Linked DNA regions of Coturnix japonica. The protein of the gene in region 1 purifies or fractionates together with the protein of each later gene. This does not show direct contact. Links are inferred from orthologs where the notes say so. Each region holds a gene or a part of one and is shown in the gene's direction. Other genes may lie near its edges. The genes, in order: RYK and ADGRA3.

Region 1 (3,815 bases):
TATATATGTGGGTTGATTTTGCTGATTTATTAGTCTGGCTTGTATTATTTGTAATTTTCTACACGGCTCAGGAGGCTGAATTTGGCCTTGAAGAATTTTGTTGCTGGCAAGGATGCAGGACAGAAGAAACCCACATTCACCATCAGGTCTCGTGGCTAGTAGTAGTTTGTGAAGGAAGTGAAAGTAGTTAAAAGAAAACTGTTAACGCTACACTGGATTTAGAAGCTGCTTTTCTAAGAATTATTACAGTTAAGACCTTGCTTAAAAGACAGAATTGTATTAAAAGGAGTAGCAGCGTCTCAAGGAAACATTTTAAGATGAAAATAAGGTGAAATAACCCCTCTCCCATCATTCAAAATTGACTGTTATCCTTTTACAAGTAGACATCCTCAAATGTCCCACCTTGGTAAACATCATGCAGAAGAAAAGTTATCTCTTACTGAAGATGAAGCTAAATGGGTATATAGAGTTCATGGATGTAATGCCTGACAATCAGACTTATGGAAATGTGGATTTTCCAAGTTCCAAGCAACAACAGAACTCACTGAAAACTTCCTACTACGCTTTCACTAGAAAATGCAGTTTCTTAAAAATGTTTCATGGAAATTTTAAACCATATAAAGTTTGTTTCAAGTTTCTGTGGGGTTTTTTATGTTGACACTACAGGAAGGTGTTTATAAACAATGCAGGGGGAGGTTATGCAGTCTGGAAGGAGGAGAGGAAATAGCCCTGGTAGAACTCCTAAATTATTTCTGCATTAATAGTACGCCCCTAAACCTCCTGCCACTGCCCCCACAATAACACCTTCTTTTTTTTCCTTTTAAATCCTCCTTAGTGTCTCCTCAGCTACTTGGAGTCTTTGTGTGCTGCAATCTGTAACACAAAGCTTTTACCTGATATTGAATTACTTTCAGTTAGTGTGTTTTGGTATTGAGAAGATTTTGGTCAAATTACAACTCTCTGAAACAAGAGATTTCTGTCCCTGCCTTACAGGAATCTGCTGCCTATCACTCATGTTTGTATAGAAGAAGGAGAGAAACCAATGGTGCTGCTGCCGTATATGAACTGGGGGAACCTTAAACTATTCTTGCGACAGTGCAAGCTGGTAGAGGCCAACAATCCTCAGGTAAGCTCTGAAATCTGTCACTTCCTGCCTATTCAGCTTTTACTCAGAAGCCCTGGTTTGTCATCTGTATGTATACCTTAAAAGAAGTAGCTGCACTATTCATCCTGTCCTATGACAATGAGAGAACTGACAAGCAGGTCCTTAGGAAGCAGTAATTTTGATTCATACAAGGAAAACATTCTTGGCTGCCTTTATTATCTCTGTTGAGAGGCCGTTCAGCTGAGTTAAACTCTCAGTCAGGGTAGGAGCTGGTATATATCGGCACATCTAAAAAAGTAGAGGAAATGATACATGGTAGTGGATTCAAGTTACAGTACACAGGGAAAAGTTGTGTACAGGAAAGAGTCATATTAAATGTTTTTTTGCAGGATAGACGATCTCTTAGTGCATGGTAGTTTGTTGTTTCATAATAAGCATAAAGCAGTTCTGTTAAATATATGACGTACTGCTGTATATTTGCTTTACAGTAAAACAAATGTATTTATTTACCTTGATGATGGAAGTGGTTTCTGAGAATTGGTTTGTTTTCCTGCTGTTGGTTCTCTTCAGGTTTTGTAACACTTTACCGTGTTTTCCATAGAACTTCATGTGTTTCACAAGAAGTGAAAAGGAATAAAATAATTAGATGAGCATTAAGTTTTAAATATGCCCTTTCAGCAAAATGATTTTAACAAATTGGAGAAGCTGGAAGGAAATCTGACATGTTCAGCCATGGATTTGTCTGTATTTTAGAACCGTTCTTCTTGCTGGGATTGCTTCATCTTTCCTTTTCTTCAGCTTTACCTTGGTTTGTCTCTTGTCTTTGAATTAAATTCTAAATGAATTCTGGTTTGCTGAGGTGAACGTTTGCCCATCACGTGCCAAATTTGAAACTCTCAGGGTTACCTCCCTCTGTTAATTTACAAAGCCAATAAACTATGATAAATATGATCTTCCAACGTTGATTTATCTGCTTTACTACTTAATCTGGGTTATAAAACTCTATTCAGCACACAAATATCCCTTTCCAAGAATTCAGAAATGGCATTTGTAATCTGTGTTACGTCAAATAGGAGTTGCCTCTCAGTGGTATCGCCATGCTTCCTACTGTACCGAAGTCTGGAATGTTTGGTGTTGTACTTATTCAAAGATGAACATCTATGGAAGTACCAAAACCAAACTTTTGAGTTCTCTGAAATAATGCATTGTTCTTATTTAGAAGCCAGTGTATTATTGTTAACAGCTTCTTAATTTAGCTTAGTATTTGGCTTTATTTTATTCCCCAGTCTTGATACTCTTGTATCTACCTACATACTGAAGCTTCAGAAATACTGTAGAAATGGAAGAGAGAAACCAGGATATAGATGTAAGGCAAGAGTTTTATGTAACTGTGACACTGGTTTCCAAACAAAACGAAATGAGAGTGTGGTGTGCAGGTACAAGTGACCAGTTTTTGCCTGCATTCATTGCCAATCCAAGGAAAAGCTACGTAACAGTGAGAAAACTGCAGATGCAAATACCTGCCCCTGCCATGTCAACTAGGAAAAAAAGGCTAAGAAGTTAGAATAAGGAATCTCCATAACTTTTCAGAAGATGGTAGTGTATTATCAGCTGCTAGAAAATCACGGGCTACTAAAGGTTAAGAGAAGGGAAGGGCCATTAGGCTACAAATTAAAAATTAGCCTGTTCTGTATTGATTGTTGTTCTATACTCTTGCAGGCAATTTCCCAGCAGGATCTTGTACATATGGCTATCCAGATTGCCTGTGGAATGAGTTATTTGGCCAGACGGGAGGTCATTCACAAAGACCTGGCTGCTAGAAACTGTGTGTAAGTACCAAACAAGACAGAGTCATTGTGCAAACAGTGTTATGTCAATAACTGGGGCTAAGATGGATTTCCTTTAACCAACCTGATCTCTGCTTCGAAACCAATACCACCTTTTTTCCCCCTTATGTTTTGTGCAAGTGGTTCCTTTAGTGTAACTTTCATCTAGGTGTATATATAGTAGAACAGAATGCTTGGTTTTTAAGAATGCAGAACATCCTATTCTGGAAGATTTGTATTGGATTTTGATTTCCCTTATTTTTTGAAGATGCTCACCTAGCCTAAGTGTTTTCCTTTAAATTTTGATGGTAAATTGAAGCTTCTTTGGCAATTTGCTAATGGACAGATTTTGCACCGGGAAGCAGAAAGACCTACCCCATAGCCATCCCTTGTGCTTTTGAATTGATGCCACTGAGCCCTTTTAGCAAAATCCATTATGGCTCTTGCAGTGTGTAAGGATGCTCAGTTTGATATAGTTTCTTGAAGGTTCTTTTCATCTGTTCTTGTTGCTTTTTCTCTGTGGTGAATGTATTAAAGAAGTGATACCACCGAAGGCGAAGATCACAAGCAGTGCTCCAGGGAAGCTGCCTTGTGACAGCCTCTCATTTCAGTGCAGCAAATGAATTTACTTGTGCCCTTCCTGGGCAAGGTTGAGCATTCTGACAACTTTACTCCCTGCCCTTACAGGGCAAAGTTCAGCTTTGTTTTAGTTGCCATATGTGTGATCCTGAGTGATGTCAATATAATTCAACTCATAGTACATCTGGCACTCCTTCTCCATGGCAAATGCAGGCAGGAACTGAGCTACTGACCTGTTGTGTAGTGCAAGAATATTTGGACTAGGTTTAGCTTTTTTTACGTAGAAAAAGATATTGCAAGTGGCC
Region 2 (4,501 bases), on another chromosome or scaffold:
AAACTACAATACAGGTAGTGATCTAATAAACTTGACCAGAGTATATTACAGTTTCAAAATAATCTTCTCAAATCTTTAGCACAGAATGGAACTGTAGTATGTGCACTAAGGAAAAAAGAGGGTAAAAGCACAAGCCTCCAAGAATAATCTTTTGCTTAAAACCTTCAAGGTTTTGATAGAGCATATCTTATTTTAAAACTCCTGGTGCTAGACCAAAAGTGATGGGATTCTATGATGCAAAGCGTTGATCCAATAGAATTTCACCTTGCAGCTTGAAATTGTTTAAAACAAAGGCATAAGCTGAAGAATTAACTTTATACTGCTGAGCTATATGCTAAACAGATATATATATTCTTATAGTTGGCACAATAGCAACATAAGAGCTGAATATTATCCATTTTATATTTTGTGCCCTGTCCTAATTTAACTCAAGTGTAATTTTGGTGTGGCATTTCAATTCAGATCAGGTCAGTCTTGCTGTGTGACTCCGTGACTAATGCTAATGCTCAAGAAGCCATAGCCTGTGCATGCTGGTCAACAACTTCATTAAGTGGGACAGGCTTCATTTCATGTGAGAGGCCAGACAAATGAGAAAACACAAAGGTAGGTAAAGTGCATGGTAGCTAAAGAGTATCTACAACATGCCAAAGCAATGGTGATACTGTTATTGAAGCCTTGTTCCACCTGCCCCATCCACAGTTGCGATTCTTTGCCTGTATCTTTTATTAGGCTGCATTTAAAATAAGGCTGCAGAGGTCAGAGGTGTCCCAAGTTACTCAAAGAAACTGTAAAACTGTTAAAGATTTCGTTAGCTTCATTTTGGCAGCTGTTATGGCCAACATAGAGTACTGTATTTCTTTGGCATAGCGGGTATTCTGAAGGATGCTACACAAACTGCATTGCTGCACAAGGAGAACATGGGCCACGAAGCACCACCGTCCCGCAGAGAGCTGGGGACACGAAGGCGGACAGAAACGGAGTAATCGCCCGGGCAGCAAACTACACCGTGCACACAGAGCATCCACCCCGGCCATTTCAGCCCCATTTCACGAGGCCGCAGCCATCACCTCCTCCTCCATGGAGCGGCTCCGCTCCGCCGTGCCCCCTCAGCCCGCGACGCGCAGGCGCAATGAGGACGGCCACGGCGGCGGCGCTTGCGCAGCGCGGCCGGGGCCCATCGGGCGCTCAAGCCGCGGGCTTCTCCCAGCGGCGGAAGGCGGCGCTGCTGCCGCTGCGCGGGGCTCCCGGCCCCGACACAAAGACGAGGGCGGGTACGGCGGTGGCAGCTCCGGCCCGCCACCCCCCGGCACCACATGGCGGCGGAGCTGCGGCCGCGCCTAGCGCCGCCCCCGCGGAGCTAAGCGAGGGCCCGCGAGCCGCGCTCCCTCCTCGCTCCTCTCCTCATCCGGCACCTCCGGGAGGAACGGGGCCGGGCCCCGAGCGCCATGCTGCCCCCGTTCCGTCGCGCTCCGTGCCGCCCACTTCGCTCCCGTGCCCGCCGCCCTGCGCGCCTCCTGGCCTCGCTCCTTCTGCTGGCGGCCCTGAGGGGCGGCGGCACCGCGCTGCCCCCGGGCTGTAAGTACGACGGGCGCCCCAAAAGCTCCGGCAAAGCGGCGGCTGGCGGCCCGCTGGAAGTAAAGGTGGTGTGCAGCAACCTGGAGCTCGCTCACGTCCTGCCTCCCGAGGCGCTGCCCAACCGGACGGTCACGCTGTGAGTACGGTACCGGGGGTGGTGGTTTTGGGATGGAGGGGGGAAGGGAAGCGGTTTGTAAAGCGCTCTGCGGGGTGGTCCCTTCTCACCGTGCATCGTCCCCGTGCTCCCAGCTCCGACCTGACTTCGGCTTACGTTTAGGCGTGCTGTTCCTACGTGGAGCTCATCCATTTGAATAACAAGTTTCAAGCAGGATGTGCAGCTTTTTCCAAACTAAGTAACGTGTTGCTGCTCTTCACAGGGAGGGTTTATGAGTTGTTTTTCTTTTCTTCCTGAGACACTAACCGATGCTGTGCAGTAACACTTTCATCAGTGATGGCCCGAAAACTTGTGATCTTATTTTAGGGAGCCTTTACTACTATGGGAGATCCAAGTGTGATTGAGTCACATGAAGGAAAGTTAATGGAAAGTGACTATAGCATAGGGTCTGGCTTAATATGCTTACTTGTTTGCCTGGAATGAGTGTCTCCAGCAATGAGACATCCACCACATCTCTGGGCAGCCCTTTAACACTGTCTCGCCACCCTCATTGTGAGCAACATTTTCTTTATACCCAATCTAAATCTCTCCTCTTTTCGTTTGAAACCATTTCCCCATGTCCCATCACAACAGACCCTGCTGAAGTGTCTGTACCTTTCTTTCTCGTAGGTTCCCTTTAGATACTGAAAAGTGTCAGGTCCCTTCAGAGCCTTCTCCAGGCTGAACGGCCCCAGATCTCCCAGGCTGTTCTCATAGGAGAGGTGTTCCATCCCTTGGATCATTTTTGTGGCCCTCCTCTAGACATGCTCTAAATGAATGTATTTTTGTTCTGAGAACAACAGTTTGACTGTTGCCTTTGCAAACTTTGACAGCACTTAAGCCTGATGGAGGGGCTTCTTTGAGAGGTTAGAGTGTACCCCAGTAAGGGCCTGTCAGTGGAAAGGGGAAGACCAAAAAAGAGGGGCCTGTGTTGTTGCCCTCAGCTTGTCAGTATGCAGGGGGTCGGAATATTTCTCAACGATCTGTCAGAAATGACCAGAAATATTCACATGTGAAGTTCCTGAAGTATAAAGGAAAGCAAAAAGTGAAAGGTGACAGCTCTTTGATCAACGAATTGATTTTGGCTTTTGTTAGCTGTAAGTGCCATGCAGCTGATTAGCTGTTAAAAATACAGTATTATCCACACACACGCACACACGCACGAAGAAAAGAGAAGGAAAAAAAAGTATGTGTTAGTCTGGGTGATACGCTGAAGTTGACAGTGGGGGTCCTTTGATACGAAAAACTTGGAGTCACAGCCTTGATTGCTATGAAAGACAAGCAGATATCAAATATAGCATCCTTGCTGTGAATGGACCTTTGTTCATAACTGCAGTGACAGAAGAATTTGGAAGAATTCATTTCATTTTGATTCTTCATACTCCTTTGTTATCTAGAGCATATCTTCATACAGTAATTAGTTGCTTTCATTTCTAACCACCCCTTGAAGTGCATGACTACTTCTGAAACAGATCTTCCCTTCGGTACTCCTAACTTTTTAAATGACTTAACCAGAAAACACGTTGTTTATTACTGTTTTCTCTAGTGAGTATCATAGCGGTGTTGATAGAGTCAATATGAATGCACACTTTGAAATATTACTTAAATTTCAGACAAAGACTATTAAACTGATGCGTTTGATTTTTCTGAGTGAACACGGTGCTTGTTGTGTTTTGGAATCTTTCAGGTTTCCTCAGGTCTAACTTTCCATATCTCTGAGATCCTTTTACTGAGTCATCATTAACCTGGTTAGAAGATGTTGGTGATTTATGAGTTGGGTTGCCATGTGCCATTATGTGCAATTTCATTAACATGTTCTTTAATAGAGGCTAAGTTATTTTGGAAAAAGATTAGATAACCATTCACTTTTTTTGTTGGTTTTTTTTTCTTTCCAAGCTGCTTTTGAACTGCAGTAGTTGGTGGGGAGTGGAAAGTTTTCTGATTAGAGTCAAGCTGCCCTGAATTATCTTGAATCTTGATTCTTGTGGGATTCTTCTATTAAGATAAGACCTACTTCTATTATAGCTTTTTGGATTAGTGGATCACTACAGAGATAAGCAGCTGAAAATAGATCACTGTTGTGTAAATCAGCTATGTTTTAATTCAGTTAATTTTGTTAGGAAATGGCTGGCTTTTGATTGCTGCAGAACTTTACTTTGCTCTAGTAACTTAGGTTACTACTGGTTACACCTACTAAGAATCTGTAGTTACTATTCAGGAGAAAAAAACCCTAACAATTTCAATGAATAAAGTATAAAGTAAGTTTGCTTTTTGGTTGAAGGAGGAAAACAAACACTGAAATAAGTGCTTTAAAGTACAGAGAGATGTGTACAGGAGAATAAGTAATGTTTAGGATTTAGGACTGTAAATTGAGATTCTTTTACGTTCTGATTAGAATTAGCTGGTGCTTTACTAAGCAGTTACTCACATTCATCTTAAAATATGACCTTTAGATACGGCCAAGGAAGGGACTTGTAGCCTTATATAATAAAAAGTGATTGGGATGCAAATGAAGGGTGTACCTACATGAACATTCACAGATTGCTTTGACCTTTGTAGTTTAACCGGCCAGATGAGATGTTTTTGGTGTGGAGATAATATAACTGGATGAATATAACTTCATTCTTTGTCTACTATGTTTCAGTAGATACTGAAGTCACTGCCATGATTCATGTTTAAGTAAGGAGTAGGAGCATGTTATATACCTCTTGCAGTCGAAGTTTGAGATAAGATAACCACTGCTGCCGCTTCATTTATGCAAGCTCAACTGAT

What was found.
Region 2: the proteins of RYK (region 1) and ADGRA3 purify together in Homo sapiens (affinity purification with mass spectrometry; 3 studies listed by BioGRID and IntAct, with this or other methods). This does not show direct contact. The link is inferred for Coturnix japonica from reciprocal best matches to the Homo sapiens genes RYK and ADGRA3.

What each region holds. Positions count from the first base shown.
Region 1 is NC_029524.1:3,431,604-3,435,418, forward strand, and holds part of RYK (tyrosine-protein kinase RYK), read left to right. Parts: intron 1-993; coding exon 994-1,126; intron 1,127-2,824; coding exon 2,825-2,934; intron 2,935-3,815. UniProt on the Homo sapiens protein: May be a coreceptor along with FZD8 of Wnt proteins, such as WNT1, WNT3, WNT3A and WNT5A. Involved in neuron differentiation, axon guidance, corpus callosum establishment and neurite outgrowth.
Region 2 is NC_029519.1:67,404,652-67,409,152, forward strand, and holds the start of ADGRA3 (adhesion G protein-coupled receptor A3), read left to right. Parts: upstream 1-1,445; coding exon 1,446-1,711; intron 1,712-4,501. UniProt on the Homo sapiens protein: Orphan receptor that may have a role in planar cell polarity pathway.